Linked DNA regions of Macaca mulatta. The protein of the gene in region 1 purifies or fractionates together with the protein of each later gene. This does not show direct contact. Links are inferred from orthologs where the notes say so. Each region holds a gene or a part of one and is shown in the gene's direction. Other genes may lie near its edges. The genes, in order: MPDZ, AMOT, PLEKHA2 and YAP1.

Evidence for each region.
Region 2: the proteins of MPDZ (region 1) and AMOT purify together in Homo sapiens (affinity purification with mass spectrometry; 4 studies listed by BioGRID and IntAct, with this or other methods). This does not show direct contact. The link is inferred for Macaca mulatta from reciprocal best matches to the Homo sapiens genes MPDZ and AMOT.
Region 3: the proteins of MPDZ (region 1) and PLEKHA2 purify together in Homo sapiens (affinity purification with western blotting; 3 studies listed by BioGRID and IntAct, with this or other methods). This does not show direct contact. The link is inferred for Macaca mulatta from reciprocal best matches to the Homo sapiens genes MPDZ and PLEKHA2.
Region 4: the proteins of MPDZ (region 1) and YAP1 purify together in Homo sapiens (affinity purification with mass spectrometry; 6 studies listed by BioGRID and IntAct, with this or other methods). This does not show direct contact. The link is inferred for Macaca mulatta from reciprocal best matches to the Homo sapiens genes MPDZ and YAP1.

Annotation. Positions count from the first base shown.
Region 1 is NC_133420.1:85,866,536-85,874,465, forward strand, and holds the start of MPDZ (multiple PDZ domain protein), read left to right. Parts: upstream 1-3,512; 5' UTR 3,513-3,641; exon of another isoform or gene 3,642-3,797; intron 3,798-7,930. UniProt on the Homo sapiens protein: Member of the NMDAR signaling complex that may play a role in control of AMPAR potentiation and synaptic plasticity in excitatory synapses. Promotes clustering of HT2RC at the cell surface.
Region 2 is NC_133426.1:119,486,013-119,493,144, reverse strand, and holds part of AMOT (angiomotin), read left to right. Parts: intron 1-1,064; coding exon 1,065-1,297; intron 1,298-2,428; coding exon 2,429-3,169; intron 3,170-3,497; coding exon 3,498-3,595; 3' UTR 3,596-7,132.
Region 3 is NC_133413.1:40,836,333-40,843,953, forward strand, and holds the start of PLEKHA2 (pleckstrin homology domain-containing family A member 2), read left to right. Parts: upstream 1-2,479; 5' UTR 2,480-2,643; intron 2,644-7,621. UniProt on the Homo sapiens protein: Binds specifically to phosphatidylinositol 3,4-diphosphate (PtdIns3,4P2), but not to other phosphoinositides. May recruit other proteins to the plasma membrane.
Region 4 is NC_133419.1:102,975,114-102,983,028, forward strand, and holds the start of YAP1 (transcriptional coactivator YAP1), read left to right. Parts: upstream 1-3,505; 5' UTR 3,506-3,562; coding exon of another isoform or gene 3,563-3,789; coding exon 3,790-4,110; intron 4,111-4,418; exon of another isoform or gene 4,419-4,582; intron 4,583-7,085; coding exon 7,086-7,336; intron 7,337-7,915. Other genes in the region: uncharacterized protein LOC144334584, read right to left, coding at 2,805-3,505, 3,563-3,791. UniProt on the Homo sapiens protein: Transcriptional regulator with dual roles as a coactivator and corepressor. Critical downstream regulatory target in the Hippo signaling pathway, crucial for organ size control and tumor suppression by restricting proliferation and promoting apoptosis.

The DNA of each region.
Region 1 (7,930 bases):
TATAAACAGTTTGTTATATGAAGAGAGACAGATTACTCTGTATGTTCTCAAAAGAGAAATAATTTTTACATTTTTCTCATTCCTGGGATTCTCTCTTAGTCATTCTCTCCCCCCTAATGGCTTTCTCCTAGACACATACATATCCATTATCCTAACATTCTTCTCTTTCTTCTTTATCTTCTTTCTTCAACCTTGACTTGTTTTCAATGGAGAGAAAAAATTAAGGATTTAAAATGTTTTTTAACATTGAACAAACTGAAAAAAAAATTTATCTGAACTCTTCTTTTAATTGAGACATTTGAGGCAAATTGAAACCATAAAGTCAGTCAGCCAATAGACAACACAAAAAATCTACAAACTATAATAAACTAAAACTGCACAGTTGTTATGTATTAGATATCCCTTAGGTAGAGGGACTGGCAAGCATGCCATCTAGTTTGCATTTAAATGCTGCATCATTACTAAGAGTCACTGCTGGCTAAAGGTGATGGAAATAGCCCATCATCCCACTATTAGGATTACCCCAAATCACTTAGTCCTTGGGAAAAGATTTAGTTCATACAGAGTTCTAACCCTGCAGTTCTGGAGTAACATCTCCCAGCATGGGGGTCTCACCCACGCCTTGGCTATCTGCTGTTAAAAAGCAGAATGAAGACTGTGTGCTCAGCAGGCAACTAAAAGAATCCTCTGTTATTGTGATGGATCAAAACTTCAATTTCCAGGATCTGTCTTTTCAGCAGCTGTTGAAGGTTTTGAGTAGACAACCTGGGCCTTTCACTAGTTTTAGAGTTGTAGAGAAGCCACAAATGTAAAACAATATCATATACATAGTTTATATTTGTACTTGTTCAATTATGATGAACAATAAATAATAAACCAATCATTTAAACCAATCTCAGAAGTTTCCAGGACTTTTTCCCTTATAAAAGTCCTCTGAATATAACTCAAATTTGAGAAAAACAAATTATTGTGGAGAATGCCTCACTGAGGATACAGGTGGAATGACCCCAGAGGCTATATTGACATGAAATAGAAAGCATTATTAATCCATTTACTTACGGGGTAAGTTTCAACCCATCCCACAGAGTCTATCTGCTTTACACTTTGTCTTTCTCTGCAAGATTTTATTTCAACTAATTTAATGTTTTTAACTTCTATTTTAGGTATTTTTTTTAGTGCAATATCCCTGGTGGATTTCTAGAAAATCTTAGGTTTTCTGGATTAGAACAAGTTACAGAGAATAGAGCAATAGCTCTGCAGGTTAACTTCAAAAGGAGAAACTTCTGGGTGGAATTATCCCCAAACGCTGGATAATTTTATGCAAGGACTAATCTAAACAAGATTTTTTTTATCCTCTGATACACTGTTGTTTAAAGAGGGCACATGGATTTTGCTTGGCTAAAGGAGACTAGAACAATAGCACCTTTTAAACCAAGGTAAAATCCTTTGTTTTAATCTCATTTATCCACAATAAATCAGAGAGTTAAATTTCTAAAACTTTCCTCTAATTCAGTTTTATGGGCTCTTTCCCTATGGTTCAATATAAAAAAACGCCATTTAAAATTTTAGGACTCACGGAATTCCTTCAGTAGCTAGTTAAGAAATTCTTTTCCTCCTACACTATCCCAGCAGCTAACATTTCATGCACATACTTCCTTTGTATTTGAGAATGACCAGATTTGAAAACTGACAAGTAGAAGTGCTATTCAAAGAGGAGGAGCCCTTTGGAATTTCTAAGCAATAAGAAAATCCTTTCCAAATGGGATGCCTTGAGATGACTCTATGACAAGAACACAAAAGTTATATGGACAAATTGTTCATTCTTGCAGTTGTATATTCATCCTATTTCATATGAGTGCCAACCAAGTGTGAAGTTTTAACTAGGCTCTGAGGATAAAATGGTGACAGCCCCTGTTCTCATGGGCTTTATGGTTGAAGTGGGAAGAGACATTGCATAATTACAAAATTAAGTGCATATTTACAAAATAGGATAAATATTATGAAGCAAAAGCATAGGGTACAATAAGAATGCATCACAATGGGTTTATCCTAGTTTGTGGGAATCATGTATCTATGGCAGTTCCATTCACTGGGACACTGAACTGTGGAAGATGACCAGGCTTGAGCAGAATTATCATGGTTGCATTTTTTTCTTTTTTTGCAATCTAGGTTTGAGACAAGCAAAGAGGGAAGTCGAATAAACACTTGAATATATGGATAAATCTGAAGGTATGAATGTAAGAAAGATTCCATAGCTACTAGATGATAAGCTAGAAGTGAAAACGTATTTAGAGGTAAGAGTTAAAAGGAAAAGAGGGCCCGTAACTGATTTTTAAGAAACTCCAGCATCTAAAGGTTGGGGGAGAGGTGGCAAAGAAGACTGAAGAGTGGCCTAGTGACAGGGGCAGATCTACCTGGAAACTGAAGTAGTTTAACATTCTGGGTCCTTCTCTTGCCTGGGAGCAACCCTAGCAATGTGTTTACAGGGACGTTTATTTTTCGATTTTTCAAAAGAAAGTTTTGTTTTGTTTTGTTTTTTGTTAAAGCAGACCCCCAATTGTACAAGCTTCAGAGCCCATACCTCCACCCTTGACTAAGAGGAAGGAGCAAAACCAAGAGTGTGATTGCATGGAATTACAGGAGGGGTGGGGTGGGGAGGGCTCTAGGAAGAGAGAGGTCAACAGCTGTGACTGTGTTTGAAAGGCCAAGGAATACGGGAAAAGAGTATTTTTATTCAGAATAATAAGAGAAATTCTATTAAATGTTCTAAATTGGACTTCTGAGTATCCTTTGGTACTATAATATTAGAGAGATGTTTTGAAAAAGAGTTTCTTATGCAGAAAAAATTTCGTGGGACTTCCAAATTCAGGATAACAGAAAGAAAATCTTAAGTGGCACAAAATAAAAAATGAATATCTGTTCTTCCTGGGGCCATGTAACTCTAATAACTTTTCCATGTTTACTGTTTTTGCTTTTAAATTGGATCATCAGACTAAGAATGCACCCTGATGTGCGAAAAGTTTCTTAGAAAGTGAGACGACTGCCCCCCCCCCCCCGCCCCGCTTTCTGATTAAAGCGCTTCTCATCAGCATCCTATGCCACTTAGTAAGCTACCCATGCAGAAAGCATCCTCAGGGCAGTGCACATAAGAAAAATCTGAGGAACCAGAAACAGGCTATCAGTTTCCGCAGGTTGACAAAATCGGCAAATAAAAACTCAAGACTGCCATTAAATTTGAATTTCCGATAAACAATGAAGAACTTTTTAGTATAAGTACGTCCCAAATATTGCAAGGGATATACTTGTACTAAAATTATTCCTTTTTTGAGATTCCCATTTAACAGGCCAGTCTGTATTTTATCTGACCACCTCATAAATCCACTACCCACACCCCAGGCCTAGCGGCCCAGGAGCGAGTTTAAAATCCCGCACCGGCCCGCTAGGCCGCGTCCCCTGATTGGCCGAGGCGCGCCCGCCGCCCCGCCGGTCGCAGGCGTCACGGCAGCCCCAGCAGCCTGGGCCCCGCCGCCGCCTCCGCGGCAGCCCCGGTCGGCGCAAGTGCGGCGCGCGCTGGGGGAGGGGGCGCGGCGGAGCGCGAGGCTGGCGTCGGGCCGCCGCGGGATTAAGTTTCTCAGTCACGCGTGAGTGTGCGCTTTGATCCCGAAGCTCCTCGCCGGGCCGTTACTTCAGAAGACAGCGAGCGTGGGCGAAGCGAGGCATCCAGAGGCCCCGGCGACCCCTGCTCCCTAGCCCTCTGCCCCCTCGCGTCCCGGCCCTGGGCGGCCGCAGCGAGCCGGGTAAGCGGCGCGTGAGCCCAGGCCCGGAGGCCGAGGCGCGCCCCCGCGCCCTGCGCGCGCGCCGGCGGGGAAGGTGCGCGGGCGCCCGGGGCTCGGCGCGCGGGGGTGGGGGTGGCGGCGGGCTGTGGGGCGGTGCGCTTGCCCCACCCCGCGCGGCCAGGCGCTTCGCGGATGCCGCTGCTGTGGCTTTTTAAAAGGATGGGGTCTAGAAGTTTCCTTTGCTACTCGCAAGTCTCCACTCCTCCCACCCCCGCGATGGATAATCCTAGACCTTTCAGCCACCCCTACCCCTTTCTTTTGCTCTCGCTGACTCTAAGAGGTTTAAAAGTTCTTCCTTTTCCTTGACCCAGAGGGGCACAGTCTTGGTGTCGGGGGGCGGGGGGTGGGGTGTTAGCCTGGGGGTCCGGAGCGCAGACCAGGCCTCCGGGGCGCGGGAGCCTGTTGCTCTCCGCTGCCGGGGCCGCGCCCGAATGCCCTGTCCGCCGTTACGCGGTGCCGGGCTGCGCGGGGTGCGGTAGAGAGTGGGCAGCAATGCTCCCGGTCCTGCGTTCTCGCCTTAGCCTCGGGGACCCCAAGGCAAGCCGCTAATTGGTACCGGTTCCCCGTCCCCCCCCCCCTGGCGCCCATGCCCTTTTAACCGCAGCTCCCGTTGGTGGGAGCATGTTGGTCTTGTCTCTCCCTTAATGCCCTCACCCCCCGCTCTGATGGGCGCCTTTGTCTGTGATTTGGCAGCCCCAGGATGCCGGATGTTCCTAGGGAAGCGATGTTTGGGAGACGCTTTGTGCCTTGCGGAGTAGCGCGTTTGTCGGGTGGTGATGGTGTACATTTTTGCTTGCATTCTTTGCAGAGGCACAAAGGCCGGGCTATTCTTCCCTGCAGTCACATGGAAATCCAAGCGGAGACTGCGGGGGAGGAGAAGTGGCCAGGCGCCGGCGGGAGGTGGAGGCCACTGCGCAGTCCCTGGGGGCGAGTGGGGGGTCCCCGGGGACCTCTCCTCCGCGGTGGCGCTGTTGAGGTGCTCTGCTTGGGAAGACCCCGGCAATGGGCACTGTCTTTGTGCAGTGGGGGCTGTGGTTGGAGGCTAGTGTTTGGTAGGTATCACCAGATAGATAAGAGGACTATGACTTCACCAGCCTAGAAGGAAAACTTCTCCATGTTCTTTTGATGTCATAGAGAAGGAATCTGATAAGTGACCAGACTGCCTTGACCTGCCTTGTAGATAGTTTGATGTAAACATCCCCTTCGTGTTTCCCTAGAAATTCCTGGTTTAGGTTACCTTTTATAGAATAACACCTTATCTGAAAACTAACGAGGAGGAGGTGATGGCTTCGGGCTTGGGAGTTTTACATGTTGAATTTGGGTGTGAGTGATTACAGTGAACATCTTGTAATGTTGGAACCATCTAAATTTGTATAATGTATGCCTCAGCACTTGATGGAATTTCGGCAAACAATAGTGTTTAAAAAACCTAGCAAAACTTGGCCAGGCGCAGTGGCTCACGCCTGTAATCCCAGCACTTTGGGAGACCGAGGTGGGTGGATCACTTGAGGTCGGGAGTTCAAGACCATCCTGGCCAACATGATGAAACCCTGTCTCTACTAAAAATACAAATATTAGTGGGGCGTGATGGCACGCGTCTGTAGTCCCAGCTACTAGCGAGGCTGGGGCAGGAGAATCGCTTGCACCCAGGAGGCGGCGGTTGCATTGAGCCGAGATCATGCCACTGCACTCCAGCCTGGGCGACAGAGCGAGACGACTCTGACTCAATAAATAAATAAGTAAATAAAAAACATAAATAAAAACCTAGCAAAACTTGAAGTTCTTTGACCTGATCTTCTAATACAATACCGCGCTTTGGATGGATGCACCTGTGCCCTTGTGTGCAACGTAGGCAAAACTAGTTTTGGGTACCCTTTGACTCTCCATTCCTCTTTCCTATCTCGTTTGCCAAAACGAACAAACTTAGGAAGATTATTCTCAACGTATTACTAATAGATTATGGTGTACCTTATTTCTTACATATGTTTCTTTTTTTCCCCTTTGTTCCTTTCTGTGTTTATTCTTTTCACGTACCTTCTCTAGTTCTGGTTTTGTCTCTTTACCACACTTCTTTTTATTGACTGGGCCTGGTGGTTGTGGCTTGGAAAGGGAGGGATCATTAGTCAGTTTTTAATGTGTTTCAAAGTCCTATCACCTAGACATTGCTCTCGTTGGCCCTTAAAGACATCTTTCCTTTTCAGATGCATTTAAATGCACCTAACTGTGAGGAATAGAAGCTGTTCTCAGAGTCTAGTTTATTTCTACAAGTTGAAGCTATTGAGAGAGATTCTTGGAAATCCTTGAAATGTAACTTTCATGGATTTAGGCCTAGTTGGCCACTTTTAGTTTTTAACTGCTAGGATGGAGAGATTTTGCTTGACAAATGATGAAGTGAATCCATTGTCTAGAATTGAGATTAAGGGATTTAAAAGCTGGAGAAGAACAATGAATTGCCCGGAACGTAGCTATCCTGAGTTAGAGGCAGATTATTTTCTCCAGATTACATCCCAGATCCGACATAGTCTTGTCTCTCAGGTTGAGCTGCAGGTTGGCTACATTTTGTATATTTGGAAACATACAAAGTACTCTGAATTTCATGAAATATTTTGAGGCAAAGTTGGACCAGAATGTCCCCAAATATGGTAGAGCGAATAGCACATCTGCCAGAGAAAGATCCTACACTTTAAAGTGAAGAAGCAGACAACTTCCTGGTGAATTTAGGACTGCTTGATGGTGCCTATAAATGATGATATATGTCCAAAACAGTTACATGTACTTTTAAAAATAGTTATTTGGCTTGAAGTAGGATTTCATTTGATATTGTTACATACATTATCAACTCCATATTTATAACAATAAAAGTTTCATTTTTTTCTTGTAAATTAGTGTCATACAAAGGGGAACATTTATATAAGTACAGTTCGGAAATGATATTTAGCATGGTAACATTGATATATTGTGATTAAATAATTTTAGTGGGATTCCATGTGGGATAATAAGACTAAGGAGATAAATAACTACTTCTCAATAAAGGAAACCAGTGGTGAGGAATCCATTGCCTTCCTGTGCTTTGTTTCCAGAGAAGATCCGAGGTATTCATGTAATAGGTAGTAATAGGTGGATTAGGAAGACTGTTGTATTGGGTTAGGCATTGAGGAGAACACAGAATAAATACGATTCTGCTCCAGTAGCATAGGGTCTTAGTTGCAAGAATCTAATGGGAGAAATTATAGAAAGGTTTTACACATAAAAAATGTTACAGGGATTCTAGGAAAGTAGTTAAGTATAGGGATTACTTGCTCTTATCATTGTGGTTAGTAAATAACACACAGAGGGGGCTTTGGTCTTGAGATAAGAGGGTGGAAATGAAAGATTTTTGGTATGAAGTGAGCTTAAGTCAGTGGTTTTGCCTTGAAAATTGACATGGTGTATGGAAGAGGCTTGGATGTGAGTGGGCAGTGGGTACTGAAGAGCGTATTCAATTTGTATATTTCTGGAGTGCGATAGAGGGTTTGTGCCCAGGGGAAAAGTTTGGATGGGGAAGAGCAATTAATGGAGAGCAATGAAGTATAGGCTGAATTTTATCTCTTGAAGTTTCCACTTTCCAGTAACCCGTTTCACATTTCCTTCTGAGACTTTACCAGAAACACGTTTAGTGTCTATATTTCTAACAACCTCTTCAGTGCAATCTGGTCTTTTTCTACCATGCACCCTAAAACGTTTGTAGCCATTACCTGTTACCCAGTTCCAAAGCCACTTCCACATTTTTGGTGTTTGTTACAGCAGCACCCCATTTCCTGGTACCAAAATCTGTATTAGTTTGATAGGGCTGCCTTGACAAAATACCGCAGAGTGGGAGGGCGGCTGAAACCACGGGAATTTATTTCCTCACAGTTGTGGGGGCCGGAAGGCTAAAATCAAAGTGTTGGTGGGATTGGTTTCTACCGAGCCTCTCTCTTTGGCTTGTAGATGGCTGAGTTCTCCCTGTTTCTTCACATACTCTCCCTCTGTGTATGTCTATGGCCTAATTTCTTTTTATAAGGGAACCAGTCATATTGTGTTAGAGCCCACCCCTAGTGTCCTCATTTAACCTT
Region 2 (7,132 bases), on another chromosome or scaffold:
CATTGCACTCTAGCCTGAGCAACAGAGCGAGACTCCATCTCAACAACAACAACAAAAGAACATCTACTCAAAGTGGGAGGTAGGATACCTGATTCCTTTTATAAACATATGATCATTGACTTATTACCTGAAGGTTGTCACTCATTCATAGAAGATCTCATCTTACTGAGTAAATTGTTTCCATTGACTGAGATTCTTCACTACAGCACCCAGTACATCAGTTCATTCTCTCATATTCAGCCCTTTTTTTTCACTGGTACTTTATTGTGACTTACTAAGGTTTAAGCAACAGCTCCTGATGCTCTGCTGTATCCATTTGGGTGTGCAGAAAAACATGTTGTTGTTTTTTTCTCACACTATTGCCTTTATGAATGAAAAGTCATCTTTTATATATATTATATATATTTTTTATTATTATACTTGAAGAAAAACATGTTTTAAAAACTGTAGCACACCATCCCTTGTCTTCCAACTCAGAACTAACTAGATCAACCTTTAGTCAAAAAGATGATGGGAACTCTATGTAGTCATGTAGTCAATTAGACCAAAATGTAGAGGTAGCAAGAACATCTTTTTTTTTTTTTTTTTTTTAAAGGGCATAGTGCTTTATTTATATTCATTCAGCAAAATCTAGTTTTCTGTTTATAATGAAGAACAGCATAATTTGATTTACATTTTGGAGGACTTGTGAAATGAATTTGATACCTTTCCAGGTTTATCTTTTTTTTTTTTTTTTTTTTGAGATGGAGTCAGTCTTGCTCTGTCACCCAGGCTGGAGTGCAGTGGCACTATCTTGGCTCACTGCAACCTCTGCCTCCCAAGTTAAAGTGATTCTCCTGCCTCAGCCTCCTGAGTAGCTGGGACTACAGGTGCCCGCCACCATGCCCAGCTAAATTTTGTATTTTTAGTACAGACAGGGTTTCACCATGTTGGTCAGGCTGGTCTTGAACTCCTGACTTTGTGATCCACCCGCCTTGGCCTCCCAAAGTGCTAGGATTACAGGTATGAGCTACCGCACCTGGCCGCAACAAGGTCTTTATATGTTCTTTGTCTTTGGTTCCTAGGATTAAGACCCTACATGCCCAGATTATTGAGAAGGATGCCATGATCAAAGTACTCCAACAGCGTTCCCGGAAGGAGCCGAGCAAGACAGAGCAGCTGTCGTGCATGCGGCCAGCGAAGTCTCTGATGTCCATTTCCAATGCTGGATCAGGCTTGCTCTCCCACTCATCCACCCTGACTGGCACCCCCATCATGGAAGAAAAGCGAGATGACAAGAGCTGGAAGGGGAGCCTAGGTAATGACAGTAAATAAGGAAGATTATAGTCATGTGTTCAAAGAGAGCCATGAGACAAGCACCCATGCTTAAGGAAAAGGGATGATGGTCCAGGTTCTGGAGAGGAAGGTGTACCAGGGTTTTGGGTTCATATTCCTCCTGAGACCCTAGTTCCACATTCTGGAGCTCCTCCACACTTTGAAGTCTCCTGGTGAGAATACTGATTGAGGCCAAAGCCTAGAGGACAAGAATCTTGAGTTTCATTTGGGTGTGAAGGAAGGTAACTCTAATTTCCTCTAAAATATTCTCACATTTGACCTTTGCCATGTGGCACCTTTATCTTTCTCCAGAACCCATGTGGCCTTTTTGTCATTCAGAATTTCAAAATTCCAGCATTTCTGTGCTCCTTCCTCCTGTATAATAGGAGAACCCAGAGTTTTAGTTACGCTAAATCGTTTGGGTAGCAGGTTTTGTTCCCACAGTGTTCTGAGATGAGAACAGAATGTACTTTTTCATTCCATTCCTGTCCATTCCCTCCCCTCTAATCAAAACCCCAGACATATTGTGGATACCACGGGCACATTTTTAGAGCCTGAGGAAGGAAGCTTATATGTATTTTTATTTTAACCCTTTTTGTTGCTTTTAATTCCTTTCTTGGTCCTCTGATACTTATAATATCTTTTGGTTAGAATAAGCATTTTGGAGACTATGGTCATGGTGAGAACCTTAGATCACACAATTATTACCACACTTAATCTGTGTCAATAGACTTATTCTCCAAATCCTTTCTTGCTCCCTGGTAATGTGTGGTAATGGTTTATAAGTGGAGCCGAGTAGGAGCATTCTGACAACTTGGTGGAACCCAATCACCATTGGAAAAATAAATCAAAACAGATACCCAGGTCACTTACAGGCTTAATATGTTGTGCCAGGTGATGGATGAGGACCAGAGGGATCTTCGAAGTCTGTAAGAAACTTTTAGCCATGGTTGGAGGAGCCTCACACACTGATTTCTGGGTTCCCTGGAGGCAAAAATAAATAATTTAGACACATTCAAATTTCTTCTGAAATTTGAATGGGAGAACAGGTAATTAGATGTCTGGATTTGAATCACCTATTTTTTTCTAATGTCTGTTCCCCTTTCATTTGTAGGCATTCTCTTGGGTGGAGACTACCGTGCTGAATATGTCCCTTCCACACCCTCGCCTGTGCCCCCCTCGACTCCCCTGCCCTCGGCTCACTCCAAGACAGGCAGCCGAGACTGCAGTACCCAAACTGAACGTGGGACGGAATCGAACAAAACTGCAACTGTTGCTCCCATCTCTGTTGCTGCTCCAGTTGCTGCCGCCGCCACTGCTGCCGCCATCACCGCCACTGCTGCCACTATCACCACCACCATGGTAGCTGCTACTCCAGTTGCTGTTGCTGCTGCTCCAGCTGCTGCTGCTGCTGTTGCTGCTGCCCCGTCTCCAGCCACCGCTGCTGCTATTGCTGCTGCTGTTTCTCCAGCTGCTGCTGGTCAGATTCCAGCTGCTGCCTCTGTTGCCTCAGCTGCTGCCGTTGCTCCTCCTCCTCCTCCTCCTCCTCCTCCTCCTGCTGCTGCTGCTGCTGCTGCTGCTGCTGCTGCTGCTGCTGCTGCTGTTCAGGTTGCTCCAGCTGCTCCGGCTCCGGTTCCAGCTCCGGCTCTGGTTCCAGTTCCGGCTTCAGCAGCGGCTCAGGCTTCTGCTCCTGCTCAGACTCAGGCACCAACTTCAGCTACGGCTGCAGCTCCAACTCCAGCTCCAACTCCAACTCCAGCTGTGGCTCAGGCTGAGGTTCCTGCAAGTCCAGCTACCGGTCCTGGACCACATCGTTTGTCTATACCAAGTTTGACCTGCAATCCAGACAAAGCAGGTAATTATTCCCTTTAGCAGGTAACTTTTGGTTTAGTTCTGCTCTCAAATACAGATTTATTTCTTGTTGCCTGATGTCTGGGCAGAGTTATCCTTTGGACTGAATTTTTCATGTTCTAAGGGAGAGAGAAGAGAGTCTGTAAATGACTTCTCATCCACCAAGATGGGAACAGGCATGAGTGGAGGCCATTATCTTAGCAGAAGTAAATGAGGGAGGTGACAAGTCTCACTTTGCCATTGGCTTCATGAGGGCTCTGATGGTGTCTAGTTCTAGAAATACAGGTTTTTTCTTCATCCCTAAGTGTTTTCTAACCCTTATTTCCATTTAGATGGGCCTGTGTTCCACTCCAATACTCTGGAAAGAAAAACTCCCATTCAGATCCTGGGACAAGAGCCTGATGCAGAGATGGTGGAATATCTCATCTAAACGGCCAAATCAAGAGCTGCAGATTCTCAGCAAAAATGCTTTTAATCATTTCCCCCTTTTATTGGTTCTTGTTTTGGGGGTGAGGACAAGGGTTGGGGGGAGGGGATGTTTTTTAACAGGACTTTTTGTTGGAACAATGTACTACTTGAGTAATACCATGTGAACCACCAGTCTATTCTGGTATGCTTAGGGAGTACCTCTAAAGACAGATTAATCCGAATGTGCTCTAAAGCTTATTGTTTGAATTTATACAAATACTGGGACTGTTAACGGGTGGGCATACATCAGTGTTTTCAATGTGCTTAAATTTGTTTAAAATTTCCATATTCTAGATCATTTTTAATTGAAGAGCACAGTATGTGTGGAAGACAGTGTGTAACACGTAGTTTGGAAGTGGGAAGCTGGAGAGAATTGAGTGTGTGCTGTCTTGTATAGTTACTATCCTGTGCAGCAGCCGGAGAAAGCTCTCACCTCAGGCTTATAAAAGGGAATAGTTTCAGGAGCTATGTAAGCTGGAAAAAAGGTAGGGAGTTTTGGGATGCAGAAGGGTGCTGGAGCTAATTTTTTCTTCCAATTTCCCAGCTACCCTGCCCCAGGGAATTGTGTTTGTCTTCATTTCAGTGGTGCTTTGGAAACGGATTCTTTTGGTTCCCTCCTGGAGGTTCATACATTCATATATATGCTGTGGAATAATTTATGCATTTGGATAATTAATATATTGCTTTCAGATGCTGGGAGAGTACATTAACTGAGTGATGCACAACTTCCTCTCTCTTAGGGAGTTAGACCATCAGAGGCCTTGATGGAGACTTGCGTGAGGTGCTATATGCAGACTTTCATGGTCTGTGTGTAGCCATGAACATAGCTTGCTTGCATTTATTAAGACCAATCAGCTTAGTGTTTATTTCTTCTACAGCACAGATTCACTGGCTGGGGCTCCAGTCTCAAATTGCCAATCATTTGCAAAGTGAGGAAGGATCTTTGTTGACAGGTTGAATGCTTTGAATTTCTGGTGACTACTTTGAAATAACTTGTTTTGTGTGTCAAATTCTAAGCATATGTCTTAAAAGGCATTTTTGACTATCATCTCCAAGGGAATAACATGAGAAACCCAAAGTACTATGCTGCAGTCGGGGGAGAGGTGGATTGCAGCAGTATCCTCAACTACCTCTTCTCACTGTCAGTGACTCCATCTTGGAATACCTTTGGGAAGCAGCGGGAAATGTGCATGTGGGTAGAGATCAAAGGAGGCAATGGTTCCAAGCCTTGCCATAGGGCTGCCTCCAAGAACACAGAAGGATGCCAGTTGCCACAGGACCCTGCCCTGTGTCACCTGTCTGCCCTTCATTAAGGTGACAAATCTGCAGATAGCATCATTAAGATCAGTTTTAAGGGGTATAGGGAGGGTGAGGGAAGGTGGGGGGGTGTTAGGTAAGGGTAGGGGGGGTAGAGGTTTTGGGATGTCTTAGTTAGAAACCAGATTAATAGAAGAGTAGGCCTGTTATATTACATCATGAGCCATAGCGGTGGGAGAGAACTTTAGCAATAGAGCCCTACCCCCTCATTTTAGTGATGAGGAATCTGAGAACTGGAGAGGTTCAGTGACTTTTTAAAAGTCACACAACACAGCTAACCATTATGCCAATCACCATGCTTATTTTGGGAAGCTCTTATCTTTTTTTAATTCCATTTTACGAAAAGACATCTTCATGGTCCAGGGAATATGTATCTTGTAAAATGTCCCTGGCTGGAGTAGCTTGTCCAGTCTTGACAAACTACTGAATTTCTGTCTTGCCTCTCCTTCAGTGCCTTTTAAAAGGTTTTCCCTTTTCTGATCTGCATTACAACATCGAGTCACATAAATGTCCCCCCTAAGAAACCAATCCCACTTCTTACTAGGAGATTGGGTATCTTAGATAATCTTTTGGGGTTCCTCTGTGAGTATAGGAATGATATCTTTCCTAATTACCTTCCAAAGGAATTATTCTGTGTGTGTGTGTGTGTGTGTGTGTGTGTGTGTGTGTGTGTGTGTGTAGAGAAAGAGAGAGACATAAAGGAAGGGTGATGTGATTTTCAGCTAGTCCTTTCACATTTTCAATAATGAGGTAATCATGTTACATACACATTAGTCCTCAGTTATAAAGTGAATCTCAGATAGAAATTAAAAATGCAGTTGTGTTAAGACTCTTTCATACTACCCTTTAGTCGTAAGGAGAAAAATAACCTCAAATAGTAGAAGCAGCAAGTAGCAAACTTCAGGAGAGCTACTTTCTATCCAAATAAATAATTTAAAAACACTTTTCACCTACTCCTTTCATGGTTATAACACATTGGCAGACTTTTTGCTGGCTCTGGGAACCATGATTTTAATCACATTCTGCAAGGTGACAAATGTCATACATTCCACATTGTGTGGTAGCCATCTCTTTAGACTCATGTGTTTGGGGGAAAGGAAGAAGTTCTTGGTTAAGTACTATTTTGAACTTTCCGGAACCTATCTGTCCTCTCATACCAGAGACAGTTCCTCTCTGCTCAGTTTCCAATCCGGATAATTCGCTAAAATAACATTGTACATCTAAGAGAGGAAAGAAGAGTATGTCAGTATATTATGCAGAAGATAGATAGAGCCTTTTCAGAAGATCTCCACTAGTTGTTGATCCAAAAATTCAACTTTATGGGAGAAATCTCAATTAGCCACCTTTTCACAGTTGTGTGGATGTAACATTTGGGGGCTCTTTCTGGACTCCTACCTATCTGTGCATTTTACTGGCACCTCAGGAAAGGAGGGTGACCAGGTTGTCTTAGCTTGTACTGCTTGGTGGTCTCTGAGGACCTTCTAAGTCAGTTGTACCCCAATGTTCCATGTATAGAAAAACTTCATTAGAACAAACTTTACTTGATATGAAACTCCTATTAACAGTCTTTTTTGAAATAAAAGTAGCTTGAGCTTTCTTTTAAAATCATGTATCTTGATTGTTGATTTAATGAAGGATTTCCTTTTAATGCTGCTTTTGAGCTTCAAGGTAATAGGACAGCAGGAACCTAAAATATCTGCCATCATCTGCCATAGGAAAGATACCCAGAGACCCGTCATGTTCTCTTTTTGTTGTTACTCTGTTGAGTGGGTATAACAATTGGAAGATGAACAAACTGATTGATTGTGCAAACTACTTTTTATGACAAGCCTAAACCCTGATAATGCGGCAGCTTAAAGTGTATACATATGCACTAACTTTGATCAATTATATTCTCATATCTGTTAGCCACACAATCTCCTATTATCTCAATTGCTTATGCGCATATGGAGTATGTTACTTAAAACGTGCATTCTTACTGAAAATGTTTTCTAAGGAAGATATCAGCTGTGGGCTAATTGCCACCAATTTCAGCCTGCCACGATTCTTGGAAATGTATCTTCCAAGTGCCATCCATCATCAGTAGGACAAGTGTCGGGAGTTTGTTTATTTTGTTCCAGTAGCAACGATGGGTTACATGGAGCCATGAAACCTCCTTCTGGCCTCCCTTGTGATTAATGGC
Region 3 (7,621 bases), on another chromosome or scaffold:
TACAGTCAATTTTGAGTTACTGGGATTAGGGTTTTAACATGTGAATTGGGGGTTACGGGGAGGCATAATTCAGTCCCAGAACACATTATGTTTAATTTTTTCTCACTTGCAATTTTAGATCATTTTCTTTGGATAGATTTCCAGAGGGTAATCACTGGGCCAAATAAAAATATTTTAAGGCTCTTGAAAACTGCTTTTCCAAAGAATATAACAATTGGTACCACAGCAGCCTGATTAATTTTTTTTTTTTTTTAATAAGTAAATGGGCTGGGTGCGGTGGCTCACACCTGTAGTCTCAGCACTTTCAGAGGCCCAGGCGGGCGGATCACTTGAGGTTAGGAGTTTGGGACCAGCCTGGCTAACATGGCGAAACCCCGTCTTTATTAAAAATATGAAAATAAGCTGTGCGTGGTAGCGGGTGCCTGTAATGCCAGCTACTCGGGAGGGTGAGACAGGAGAATTGCTTGAACCTGGGAGGCGGAGGTTGCAGTGAGCTGAGATCATGCCACTGCACTCCAGCCTGGGCAACAGAGTGAGACTCTGTCTCAAAAAACAAGCAAGCAAGCAAGCAAGCAAACAAACAAACAAAAAACAAAGAAAAAAATATAACCAATTTTGTGAGCACCGCCTTCATCAAGAAAAGGGCAAGGAGAAACAAAGTCATGAAAAGCTTGAACTGAATCTGTCCCAGGGCACCAAAAATTCTGCTTCCTATGGAGGTCTTGGAAATGCCTTTTTTTTTTTTTTTCAAAGACAGGGTCTCACTCTGTCACCCAGGCTGGAATGCAGTGGTGCAGTCATAGCTCACTGCAGCCTCCAACTCCTAAGCTCAGGTGATCCTCCACCTCACTCTCCCAAGTAGATGGGAGTACAGGTGTGGAATCATGCCTGATTAACTTTTAAAATTTTTTGTAGAGTGGGAGTGTTGCTATAGTGCCCAGGTTGGCCTCAAACTCCTGGGCTCAAGCGATCCTCCCTTCTAGGCTGCCCAAAGCAGTCGGATTACAAGTGTGAGCTACCTTCCCTGGCTGTTGAAATGCATCTTTATTAAAAATCAAAATATAACCAGGAAACAGAAAGTGAGTATATGAATGGTGAAATTGTTACATATCCTATCTCATGCCATTCTTATTAGTTGAGTATTGTCTTTTACTAAAAAGCAACTCAAGCCAGCATCGACGACAACTTTTTTTTTCTTTTTGTTTTGAAACGGAGTTTCCCTCTTGTTGCCCAGGCAGGAGTGCAATGGTGCGATCTCGGCTCACTGCAACGTCTGCCCCCGGGGTTCAAGCGATTCTCCTGCCTCAGCCTCCCAAGTAGCTGGGATTACAGGCACCTACCACCATGCCCGGCTAACTTTTTGTATTTTTAGTAGAGACAGGGTTTCATCATGTTGGCCAGGCTGGTCTTGAACTCCTGACCTCAGGTGATCCACCCGCCTTGGCCTCCCAAAAGTATTGGAAGTGAGCCACTGCGCCTGGCCTAACAAGAGCTTTAAGTATGGCAACCTTGTATCTTTCAGGTGTAAAATTAACTCAGCATGATAATTCCTGGCCACTATCTACCTCACAGCTTCAAACAGTTTTTTCAAGAACTAGGCATGCAGAAATAAATGGTGGATTTTATTGAAACCTATAGGCATTTTTGAATGACATTGTTACCAGCCATTAATTGGTTCAGAACCTTTGTAAGTTTTATTTAACTTGAGCTGTCTTTTTTTTTACCATGCTTTTTTCAATGCATTGCTCAGTATTTTTTAAGTTTCATGAATGCATGTTCAGTTCATTAGATTCCATGACCGTGTAATATTTTGATGCAGTGTTTTGTAAATGAAGTTGCATTTTCAGAGCAGTTCTGTGTGTTCTGTGATACCATCTTTTCAAAGAGAAACCTTTAAAACCTTAAAAACAAAACTGCCCCAAACCATAGAAAACTCGTAAGTGTGCGGTCCTTTTTCTTGTTCTCATTTTTTTCCCTTTCCTTTTTCTTGTCAATAACAAACATTTACCAGAGTCTACAGATGCTAGCTAAGGAAGGGCTGAGACGGGGTGGAAATGGATCGGAGGCAGGTGTCCGGGGTGATTGAGGGTAGGGTGGTTACATCTACAGATCCTGGTTATATTTTAACTTTTAATAAAGATGCATTTCAACGGCCAGACAAGGTGGCTGCCACCTGTAATCTCACTGCTTTGGGCAGCCCAGGAGGGAGGATTTCAAACTCCCAGGAGTTTGAGGCTAGCTTGGGCAACAGGCTTTTTCAGAAAGGAAAAATCACGTGTCACCCGGAGGACCATGGGAGGGATCATGTGGGTGAGTTGGTGAGAAGGAAAATAATACACACACACACACACACACACACACACAAAGGGGTGGGGTGGAGGAGACAGGGAGAGGGAGGGAGGGGGGGGGGAGAGAGAGAGAGAGAGAGAGAGACTCAGAGTCTCTGAACTTGATAAGTTGTTAAAACTGTCTTTGAAACAGGAACTCGCCTTGGCTCCTGTGAACTGAAGAGCCCAGATCTCGCCCTCCTCTTTCTCGCAATCACCTTGCCTTTTAAAGCTGTTGCTGGAGGTAGTTTCCCCTGGCTAGGGAGGAGCTGCCTTGTTGTTCAGAGAGAGTCGTTCTTCCAAAACCAGGGGTGGGGTAAGTGGAGGCTGCAGACCCTCAAGGGATCCCTTTGGGACGGGGGAGGGAGGATTGGGGGGTGGGGATCCCTGGGAGGGATCTTGTCACTTTGGTTATCCTAAGAACTATATATTTTGAGGTGGGGATCCAAACTCCCCTTATATTAAGAAGAAAAGTTGGGGGTAGGGTGCAGACATTTTGCCAAATTACAGACGGAGCCGACTAGAACCAGAGCAATTCCCAAAGGAGGTCCTCCCACACCCACAGGAAGGCCGAAAAAAGGCTTGAAATTCAAATTATTTTTGGTGCTTGGGAGATGAGAGGGGGTGAGAGAGGGCAGCAGCAGTGAATGGGAACTGAAGGGGGAAGAAAAAACCAGAAGGCTTGGTTAGTATCATTCCAATGAAACAGGTCAGGAGAGCACCAAGGACTCTCAGACATGTAGTTGGACTTGGAATACTTTTATTATGTGTCTACAGGGTAGACTGTAAAGGAGAATATCCACACATTTTACATAAATGTAGTTTCTGCTGTAAAGAAACTGCTGCTCTCCCTCCTTTTTTTTTTAGCCTGTGTTTCTGGGATGACAGGACAGAGATGTCCTGTCTATTTCTCTCTGCACCTCTCAAACCGCTTACCTCACCCAAGTTTCCTCCAGGAGCCTTCTTCCCTTCATGAGCTTTGGCAGTTTTGTTGTTTTGTCTGCTTATATTTTGCTTTTAAGAAGGATGAAAAAAAGATAGTGGGGTGGGGTAGAAATGGAGCACCCTGTGAGAGGCGAGAAAGCAGTATGCCCATTTGAGAATTGGGTGGAGGGAAAGGGAAAAGACCTTTGGAAAAGAACTGTCTCCTTTTTATTTTTATTGATTTATTTTTTGAGGCAGGGTCTCACTCTGTCGCCCAGGCTGGAGTGTGGTGGTGTGATCTTGGCTCACTGCAACCTCCGCCTCCTGGGTTCATGCCATTCTCCTGCCTCAGGCCTCGAAGTAGCTGGGACTACAGGTGTGAGCCACCACGTCTGGCTGATTTTTTGATTTTTTGTAGGGACGGGTTTTCACCATGTTGCCCAGGGTGGTTTCAAACTCCTGTGCTCAAGCAATCCACCTGTCTCAGTTTCCCAAATTGTTGGGATTACAGGCGTAAGTCACCATGCCTGGCCTGCACACTTTTTAGGTATTAGTTTTTCTCATCTCTTTCATCTCTTCAAAAGAGCGACTTGGATTGCACAGGATGCCCAGGTAGATACTGGACACCCAGTTAAATTTGAATTTCAGACAAACAGCAAATGACTAAAAATCTGACATGAGGATTCTGTGCATTTGAGGCAGTTTTTTTTTTTATTTTTGAGATGGAGTTCTGCTCTTGTTGCTCTTGTCGGCGCCATCTCGGCTCACTGCAACTTCCACCTCTCGGGTTCAAGCAATTCTCCTGCCTCAGCCTCCCAAGTAGCTGGGATTACAGGCGTGTGCCACCACACTCGGCTAATTTTGTATTTTTAGTAGAGATGGGGTTTCACCATGTTGACCATGCTGGTCTCAAACTCCTGACCTCAGGTGATCTGCCCACCTTGGCCTTCCAAAGTGCTGGGATTACAGGCCTGAGACACCGCACCCAGCCCAAGGCGTTTCTAAATCACCTCTATAGGGGTGTTTAAACAGTGGGTACCCAGAGGGCACAGTTTTAAAGGAATCACTGTCTAGATCTCCCTGAGATGCAGTGAATGCCAGTTCGTACTGGCTTCTGTCTTCCCACTTCTCCTTTCCCAACAGCTCTCTCACTTCTAAAAGAGGAAAGAAAGACGTGGCCCTGGGTCGTAAAAACCTTCAGGGCCAAGACAAGGGACAATGAGAAATATCCGTGTTTGTGCTGAGACAGGAAAGCCTTTTCTAACAGATACAAATCCTTTCACAGGTTAAGCGGTTCCCAATTCATTGCTATCCATAAACTTTGGAGAAAAACCTAATTGAATTGTCCACAAACAGATCAATCATTAGAATATTTTTAAAGAATAAACTTTATTGGCCAGGCACGATGGCTCAAGCCTGTAATCCCAGCACTTTGGGAGGCTGAGGTAGGCGGATCACCTGAGGGCAGGGAGTTCAAGACCAGCCTGGCTTACATGGTGAAACCCCTTCTCTACAAAAATACAAAAATTAGCCAGGCTTGGTGGTGGGTGCCTGTAATCCCAGCTTCTTGGGAGGCCAACGCAGGAGAATTGCTTGAACGTGGAAGGCAGAGGTTGCAGTGAGCTGAGATCTTTCCACTGCACTTCAACCTGGGTGACAGAGTAAGACTCTGTCTCAAAAACAAACAAACAAGCAAAACTTTATTTTGTAGGGCAGTTTTGGGATTACAGCACAACTGGGTGGAAAGTAGAGAGTGTTCCCATTATACCCCCAACCCCACGCGTAAAAAGTCTCCCCACAGAATAATTTTTGAAGGAAAATCTCTAACATAATTGAATGATGTTACCAAATACGGCCTTACTGAAAAACAGATCTCAGGTTCCCTGGCAAAAGTGTTTTTAGTCATTCCAGGATCCCTTTTGAAGCCATAAGCCTTTCTGGGTTATGTCCCAGTTTTCTTGCCTCTCGTCAGCCCTGGACATTGTCATAACAAAAGTCCTTGCAGCCTCATCTGCGTATTAATGTGACCAAAGCTGCTCAGAGCTTACATTCGTAAAAACGAGAAATAGGGAAATTATTAGGGCCAGGCGCGGTGGCTCATACCTGTAATCCCACCACTTTGGGAGGCTGAGGCAGCTCTCACTTGAGGCCAGGAGTTCAAGGCCAGCCTGGCCCACATGGTGAACCCCTGTCTCTACTAAAAATGCAAAATTAGCTGGGTGTGGTGGCACATGCCTGTAATCCCAGCTACTTGGGAGGCTGAGGCAGGAAAATCGCTTGAACCCTGGAGGCGGAGGTTGCAGAGAGCCGAGATTGTGCCACTGCACTCCAGCCTGGGAGACAGAGTGAGACTCCATCTCAAAAAAAAAAAAGAAAAAGAAATAGGGGAAGTATTGACATTACATCCTGCTCATTATTGCAATAAGTAATATTAATTGATGAATATTTAACTTCTTTACATATACTTGTTTACTATAGATGTATGTATGCAAACATATAAACATACATATATTTAAAAATCCATTCTCATCTATCTCATTGAGACTAATTTCTAATGCTATTTTACTGTATTTTGTTTAACTATCAATAAACTATATTTTTATCTTGTTATTAATAATTGTAATGATGACTTAGTCTCAAAAACTGTTTTAACACTTACAGCCTTATGGACACAGGATGTTTTTTAACATTGTAAAATCAATTTACATATGCATTTTTGTTTCAGAAAATATGATAGGGCAATCAATAAAAGATGTTCAAGCATAAAAATAGCTGACATTTGGATACAATTCTTTAGGGAAAGTGGAATGGAAGTATAGTTCAAGGAAGAAAGGGATAGATTTAACATTTCTGGCTGTCAAAGAACTGCTTGTTCAATTTTAAAAATGAATGATAGTGTCATATTACTATGGTACTTAGATTCTATTGGACACCTTAAAAAGAGTGATATGACAGTTTTATTTCAAAATATCCCATGCTAACAACTGCAGAATACATCCCTTGTGAACACTTAAAGCTACGATTAAAAGTTATAGATGTCAAACTTTAAAGTGTGTGAAGAGATACATAGTTTTTCAGCATTTTAGGAGTTGTAGGTAAGGAAAAGTTTGAAAGCTATTGCTTTTTTTTTTTTTTTTGAGACAGAGTCTTGCTCTGTCACCCAGACTGTAGTGCAGGGGTGCAATCTCTGCCCACTGCAACCTCCACCTCCTGGGTTCATGCGATTCTCCTGCCTCAGCCTCCCGAGTAGCTGGGATTACAGGCACCCACCACCATGCCTGGCTAATTTTTTTATTTTTTTGATGGAAATGGGGTTTCACCATGTCGGCCAGGCTCGTTTTGAACTCGTGATCTCAGGTGATCCGCCTGCCTTGGCCTCCCAAAGTGCTGGGAGTACAGGCATGAGCCACCGTGCCTGGCCGAAGGCTGTTGCTTTCTACCATCCTCTTACTAACATTCCTGTTCACAACATAATACTTATATTTCCCAATCTTTTACAACCTGGAACAATAGAAACGGTGGACATAATTGTCCCTACAATTTCAGAGGATTCCTAGTCTGAAATTCTTTGTACTGCACTATGCCGCTCTTCTACTCTGAACTGGGTATTAGTTACAGGGTCACAGTACAGTACAAGGACTTAAATTGGAGAAACCAGAAATAAATCAGCCCCCAGACCTCCTGGATGTACTATTTCAAGAATATGCAGTTACATTTCGGAGGCCCCAATTTGACTCATGGTGCACTCAGGAACACATAATTACCAGCTGCATTCTAACAGACTTCTGCTGTAATGCTTGCTTCTGAATGTGATGCTTGCTACCATGATGTCACCTTCTGAAAACAGGGGACAGCCATGGCAGCATTTATGGCAACACATTGAAACTAACCAACCTTCATGTGCACCTTGCTCTGCTCTGGAGAGAAACTTTCTCGAATACCAGGTGAAGTTCTGGTAGAGTTTCTCCAAGTGTTGAAACTTTCTTCTCAAGGAAGGCAGAAAAATGGATGGAAGCAACCAAATGCCCAAAGAGCAGAGGAAGTGCTCATGGGGGCAGCTATGTGAGAGGGATTGTAGCAGTTGAGGTGGGAGAGGAATGAAGTGCTGCTCTTTAAGTCAGAACTAAAAACTGAATGTTAGCCCCCCAGGATTTAAGGATTGCCAGCCCCAGTGTGCAAAACTGGGCTTAGTCTGTGGAGTTCATAAATAGGGATGCCTCAGTTATCCAGGATCAAGAGGGATAAATGTTCACCATAAGTCCATAAGTTATATATATATATATATACACACACGTACACACACATATTGAGATAGGGTCTCCTCTGTCACCCAGACTGGAGTGCAATGGCACGATCATGGCTCACTGCAG
Region 4 (7,915 bases), on another chromosome or scaffold:
ACCACAGACTGGATAATTTATACATACTAGAATTTTATTTCTCACAGTTCTGGAGGCTGGGAAGTCCAAGATCAAGGCAGCAGCAGGTTTGCTGTCTGGTGACAGCTGCTTTCTGCTTTCAAGATGGTGCCTTGTTGCTACATCCTCTTAAAGGGATGGAAGCTGTATCCTCACACAGCAGACAGATGAAAGGGCAAAACAGTTGAATGCTGTGTGAAGCCTCTTGTATAAAGTTCTTAATCCCATTTAGAAGGGAGGAACCTTCATGACCTAATCATCTCCCAAAGGCCCCACCTTTTTAATACCGATGCATTGGAGACGTTTCAACATGAATTTTGGAGAGACACAAACATCCAAACCATAACAGAAATGAAAAGGGAAGGGAGTGATAGGTTGCAGAAAAGGGAGAGGTGAAGGATAAATGAGGTGCGAGTAATGAAATAAGAGAACCAGATGATTATTAAGAATATGGTATACCATAATCTGACTTCATTACTGGAGTATTTCTGATGATGACAGAGTACAGACGAACGGGTAGGTGGCTAAAGTGAAGTAGAGGTGAGGGTCCATTGTAGTTGAGAGGTCAAGTAATTGGGAGACGAGTATTTTGAGACAGCGATCTACCTGGACATTGAAAATGATTCAGGATAAGCATGAATCTTTGTATGAAGAAGGTGACTCCCTATTTTAAGATGCTGTCAACAGATAATTGCTCCACAAAATGGGCAGAAGAGGAAGGGAGTAGACAAAGGATGGAATATGTTATCTGTATCCCCTACTACACTGTGGCTGAAATTGTATAAACGAGGAATAGTAAGTTCCAAAATCTTGGTTGATGATACAGAAGTGCTTACAGAATGTAGTCACTCCAAAGACCCTTTCACGCCACTTATCAAAGTAATTTTGTCCTCATTTTAATGGCAGGCGAAACAATATTGAACAAAGCAGCCTCTGCTGTACTTTAAGCCCTTTAGCTAGTGTTCATAGTAGTAAATGCTCTAGTAAAAGGACAGCTTCCATTCCAATCCCAGGTTTTCAATCACTTTGGTTCTTTTTTTGAGACAGAGTCTTGCTGTGTTGCCTAGGCTGGAGTGCAGTGGTGTGATCTCAGCTCACTGCAACCTCCACCTCCTGGGTTCAAGTGATTCTCATGCCTCAGCCACCTGAGTAGCTGGGACTACAGGCACATGCCACCACACCTGGCTAATTTTTGTATTTTTTGTAGATAGGGTTTCACCATTTTGGCCAGACTGGTCTCGAACTTCTGACCTCAAGTGATTCTGACCCCTGCATTAGCCTCCCAAAGTGCTGGTACTAGAGGCATGAACCCCCACGCCTGGTCCACTTTGGTTCCTAAAGTTTTCTTTCAGGTAAATTTTTAATGCACAGTTTCTGCCCAAAGATTTTGTTTGTGTGGATTGATTATTGGATAGGAGAGGAAGGGATTACCAACAGGGTCCCTAAGGCTGTGCTTAGAAAGAGAGGGTTGCTGCAAGGAGAGGCTATGTTACTACCTGTGAAGTCATCTATGAATATGGGACAACAATGACAACTGACATTGATGCGCAACTCACTGCACGTCCCAAACTAGGCTAAGTACATTATATCCATATATCCATTGACTCATTTAATGCCCCAACAACTATGAGGCAGGTGTTATTACCCCTGATGCTAATATTAAAGAACAGGAAATAAATAACTTGTCCAAAATCTCACAGCTAGTAAATGGCAGAACTGGGACCTGAACTCAAAACTCTGTAACTCCAGAACCTACAAGTTTGTCGTTAAATGCACTTGACATTTAGGAGTGGGAACAAATCCAAGAACTAGTCATGGGTGTCATTTACTCTGATCCTTTTCTTCAGACAGGAAACTGGGGGTTCAGAGTAGTTGATTGGAATCTTCTGTTAGAATTTTGAGTGTCTGAAGCCTGCTCCTTTGGCCGAGCCCTACCACACCAAGTGATACAGATCCTTCAGAATTCTCTTGGGCATGTTCTGGCTGGAGGAAGAGATTATGTTTTTGCTACCGGACTTTTTCCTTGCTTAATCCTATTTATACCTCTGTTTCACTAGCATTGTAGATAAAATCATTAAAACAAGAAAGCCAGATTTCCTTAGAATGGGCTAGTGCATTTAAAATTAGACTGACGTTGCACAATCCTATGACTATACTAAAACAAAACAAAACCAAAAAAACCCCACTGAATTGCTTAAATATACAAATATGTACAAATATTACAAAAATTGTATGGTATATGAATTACATCTCAACAAGGATGCTTAAAAAAAAAAACCAGAGTGTATGACTTAAACAACATATTTCCATTGTTTTTAAGTGGCTTCCAATGGGCTCCTTGTACATCAGGTGCCTGGGGTGACCTACTTGCCCATTCATTTCTTATTCAGTCCACATTAACGGAGTCCACCCTTGGGCCAGGCACAGGGATAGCAGGGGTAGGCACCCAGCTCCCTGAGGATGAAAGGCAGGTACAGAGGAATGAATGCTTGTACCTGAAGAAGCACTGATTTTTTTGGGTTGAGGCTTCCAGTGACTATGTTGCAAACTCGAGTACTAAAACAGTTGATGTGATTTCACTATTTAGAAAATGTAGTGTTTTTGTTTCTTTTACTAAGTTACACTGACTCACAGACCTGGTCTCAAAGCTTCAATTACAGTAACCGTTTACCCTTTCAAGTGAGTTTTCGCACACTAACAGATAAGTGAAACAGAATTACAAAATAAAGTTAATGCTGAAAACAATGGACCTTTATTAACATCAGCGCCGGCTCACCGTATCTATTTTAACTCCCATCTATCCTGGCGGCTTTAAGCCCGCACTGGCGCTCCGCTCGGTCAAGCCGGGGTAACGCGGGAGGAGGAGGTGGGTTCGCACATCCTCTCTCCACTTCTTTCGGCCTTCGTCCTTTCGCAAGTCCAGGCGAGCTGGAAGCGCCTTTCCCGAGCACGGGCCGGGAAAAGGAGCCGAGCGGGGCGGAAGGACTTTCTGGGGCCAAGGGCGGCCGCGTTCTCCGCAGAGACCACACTTCGGCCTCGGAATGGACCCAGCGTTTGTGGTTCGCGGCGTAGAACACGGGGCACGCTCCGGGCCCCTGCCGGGCTGAGCGCGGGCGAAGGGCGGACCGGACCAGGGCGAGCGGGTCACGTGCGACCGGGAGAGGCGCGGAGGGCTGGGAGTGTGCAGGAATGTAGCAACTTGCAGCGAAAAGTTTCCCTGCGCTGCCGGCCGGGCCGCGGTGCGGGCGGGCGCGCAGAGGAAGGAAGAGCCGAGAGGAGGCGGGGCCGCGGCGGCGCGGGCGGGCGCTTCTCACAACTTTAGTTTTGGCGTCTGAGGCGAGTTTCTGTCTCAGTCGGGCGCAGCCGCCGCCAGGGAAAAGAAAGGGAGGAAGGAAGGAACAAGAAAAGGAAATAAAAGAGAAAGGGGGAGGAGGGGAAAGGCAACGAGCTGTCCGGCCTCCGTCAAGGGAGTTGGAGGGAAAAAGTTCTCAGGCGCCGCAGGTCCGAGTCCCTCGCAGCCCCTCCCGAGGCGCAGCCGCCAGACCAGTGGAGCCGGGGCGCAGGGCGGGGGCGGAGGCGCCGGGGCGGGGGATGCGGGGCCGCGGCGCAGCCCCCCGGCCCTGAGAGCGAGGAGAGCGTCGCTCCCGCCGCCCAGCACCGCCCGGCCCGCAGCCGTCGCCGCTTCTCCACCTCGGCCTGTGGAGCCGGGGCGTCCGGGCGGAGCCCTCGCCCGCCTGGTTTAGGGGGTGCGCGTCGGGGGAGGCAGAAGCCATGGATCCCGGGCAGCAGCCGCCGCCTCAACCGGCCCCCCAGGGCCAAGGGCAGCCGCCTGCGCAGCCCCCCCAGGGGCAGGGCCCGCCGTCCGGACCCGGGCAGCCAGCACCCGCGGCGACCCAGGCGGCGCCGCAGGCACCCCCCGCCGGGCATCAGATCGTGCACGTCCGCGGGGACTCGGAGACCGACCTGGAGGCGCTCTTCAACGCCGTCATGAACCCCAAGACGGCTAACGTGCCCCAGACCGTGCCTATGAGGCTCCGGAAGCTGCCCGACTCCTTCTTCAAGCCGCCGGAGCCCAAATCCCACTCCCGACAGGTAACCTTGTCGCCCCTCTCCCCGCTTCCCCGTCGGGCGGGCCTCAGACCGGGGGGGCGCTCGGGAGCCGCGGCCGCCAGCTCTGGCCAGGGGAGGGGGTTGCGGGAGCTCTAGCTGGGGTGGGGGTCCCGCGGCGAAGTGGAGGAACTGGAGTCGTCCGCTCGGCCGCGGTGACCAGCTCCCCACTCCTCCCAGAGTCCGGGGCTGAGATTTGTTTTTCCTTTCGGAGTTTCTTTCTGCGGTTGCGGCCCCGGGGGGCGTGCTTTCCCTCCTTCCTTTCTTTCTTCCCGGGGTTCCCGGGAGGTTGGCGGGAGTGGAGGAGGGGTGGGGAGGAAGGAAGGGGGTGGGGGAGAGCCGAGCCTGGGCCGCGGTGGGCTTGCACAATGCGCGCGCCTCCGCGCGCTCCGCACCTTCGCTCCCGCCGGGGCCGGGCCGGGAAAGGGGGAGGGGGGCCTCTGGCATTTGTGTGTGGGTGAGTTGCCAGCGGCGGCCGAGTTTGTGAAGTTGAGCCCTGGGCCCCTTTCCTTTGCGGCCTCTCGGTCCACTTCAGTCTCCTGGGGGAGTCAAATAATTGTTCTGTTGTTTTCCAGTGTTGATTAGAGGTGGGGGTAGAACCGGTCCATTTAGTTTTTTGCTCTTTCTTTCCCTCCCCCCTACCCATTTCCCCTCCCCCTCCGCCTCCCCCTCCCGTAAGCATTTATTTTCCTCGCGGCTTAGGCGATTTCTGAATACAGGTTTCGGGCTTCCCCTGCCCAGACTTTCCTGGAAGTTGTTTATGGAGTTCTTTCACCCCTGCGCTTCCCTTGTGTCTTGGAACTTGGGTCGGCTCGCTCTTATCAAACTTAGTAGGTTGCGTGTTGGTTTCCCGATCGTAGGCTATTATTTACAGTCGGCTGAAAAGCTTTTGAATTAGCCACATCTGTACGTTGCGCAGGAACTGAGTTGCGCTTTACAGTACCGAGGTTTTAACACAAGCCTTTGATAATACACTGCGGGTTGACTCATAGGCCAAGTCCTGCCTAGTTCAACTGTGATTAAAAGTTAATGTTTGGGAAGCGATGACTAATTCTAGGATCGCCATTGCTTTTTAATTCTTATTGCGGATATGAACATGGCTGCTTTTCCACATACACAACGTTCGATTATTTTGCCAGCTTGATTCAGCATAGAAGTGAAACTATTTATAATGAGAGTGTTAACATTCCGATAGGTCCCAGTGGTTTTGTTTAGTGTAGGGTTCTCTCTTTTTCCTTCTTTTCTTTTTTCTTCTTTTTTTTTTTTTAAAGAACTTGCTTCAGGCTAAACTTCAGCATAGGAACTTTGCCCAAAAGTTAATAGGTTTTCCAAATACTGCAATGTAGTTAGCCTACTCGGGCTGTAACTTGAGTGGAAAGAAGAGTTACCGCCCCCACTCCCATCCTCTGTCCTATTTGCAGGCCTGTTGTATATTCTTCTGTCAGAGACCACAGGGTTTTGGAACTCAGAAAAACTCACTTAACCTGATGACAAAAACCCGGGTTAAGGAGGAGGAAGGAAGGAAAAACAATTTAGCTGCTTGCCTAAACAGTTCAATTTGTCAGAGATAGACTTAGGTATGCTTTTTTTCTTACCCCTGGAAGTTGGTTTATGGACTCATTGTAAGTAAATGTGTGTTGGCATGCACCCTGCAGACTACACGGTATTTTTTCAAAGTATACTACACATAGATTGGATCCCCCATTTTGTGACAAAGAGTCACAACTGGAAAGTGTACTTTTTCTTCTAGTAGGTAATTTTTACAAGAATTTATATCCAGCAGTTCTAAAATTCATAAACTATTACAGTTTTGTTTTTAATAAGTTTTTAACTAAGTGTTGCTCATCTGTAAATTGGACTTTTATTTCTGCTAGTGATTTTCTAAATCATACTTATTCTGATGGGACACTCAGAAAGGTCTATCACTTTAAGGCATTAATGACTCTACTGAGTCCTTCCGGTTTCCTTACCTTTGTGAATCTAGGAAATTCTAACTTTTTGATAATCAAACTCTTAATTCTAATTAGACACATTTTAAAAACTATGCAAGATTGTGAATAGTAGAATGTAGGTTGTGAATACTATTGTTCACAACACAAACTGGTGACTATAAGTTGTTTTATATACATCCATTTTTCTGTCTTGAAAACTATGTTACAAACGAGAAAACAGGCATATGGAAGTTAACATACTTGTTCAGTGTCACACTAGCCAGCTTAGACTGGAACTCAGATCTTTGGGGTCTGAATGCAGAATTTTTTCTGCTTGTATAGAGTTGTGAATGTCTGTGAGTTCTTAAGTTATAATTGGACTGATAACCTCATTATCTTCTACATACAAATATATAGTTGAGTTTTTTTCATCTTGTTCATTGTAGATGGCTTTTAAGAACATTTGGGCAGTTCAAATTTGTTGCTTTCATTAAAAATTGTGTAATTTGTTATGATTTCTTTATTGATGGCGTTTTATCATGGTGGGAAAAAATGACGAGGGCTTGTTTTTTCTTGGGCTTGACCTAGAAAAAAAAATTAATTACTTAAAACCTAGTAAAAAATGCATATTGTTTGCGTTGTGTTTATACTTAGAACATTTTAGAACTTGGAAAAGCACCCATAACTGCAGTGACTTTTTAAAAATTAGGTTTTAAAATTCACTATTATTTTTGGAATGTTTTATTCATTCAGTACTAGTTGCCCTTACATGTCTGGTGTGTAGTAGGTGGAAATTCATTAGATGGACTGCTCATCAATAAAAGCACAAATATAAAACATATTAAAATTATATAATATTAAAAGTATCCGTTTGAAAACCTGTGTTCTCTAGTGTCGAATATTAAATGTTGAAATTTTCCTTTGGCACTTAGATACTCGGCTGCAATTAAGCACTGACTGGGAAATTTAAAGGGACTCTCTAAAAAGTTGTGTTTCTTTTTTAATTTTTCATCTTAATATTCCTAATAGGCCAGTACTGATGCAGGCACTGCAGGAGCCCTGACTCCACAGCATGTTCGAGCTCATTCCTCTCCAGCTTCTCTGCAGTTGGGAGCTGTTTCTCCTGGGACACTGACCCCCACTGGAGTAGTCTCTGGTCCAGCAGCTACACCCACAGCTCAGCATCTTCGACAGTCTTCTTTTGAGATACCTGATGATGTACCTCTGCCAGCAGGTTGGGAGATGGCAAAGACATCTTCTGGTCAGAGATACTTCTTAAAGTAAGTGAAAATAATGGTGGGAGACAGTTATCTAAGAAAAATATGTATTGGAAGACACAGTAAAGTGGTGTCAAGATACAGAATATCATTTGTTTTTATTTTTTTTAATATTTATGTTAAGCTCTAGAGCTCTGTTATATCTCCCATGTATATGTTTAAGTTTGGTGTGACCTAAATACCTTTGTTAGCATGGGTAATATTTTGAGAGCTTTACTGAGTCTTGGTTCTGAGCCTCTTTATAATCTTTTCTTTTGTGGAAGTTTGGTTATTCTCATTTTGAGCTTGTGCCAAACCTGTTAATTAGCCTAGCACAAAACAGAAAGAATACCATGAAAATTTTCAAATTCTGAGAATATTAGGGCTAGCAGCATCTTATGAAGTACGTGTGGTGCTACTTGTATCTTTTTAAATAAATATTTTATTGGTGGAGAACTACAAAATAAGTAGGGCTTTTGGGGGAGTCTAATTTTACAGTATTTTAAATTGTGAAATGACAAGCACTACAACTGAAGCTTGATGTGACTTACCAATATTTCCCCCCAAAATGTAAAGGGAAATATAAATTTTTAGGTTTCATAC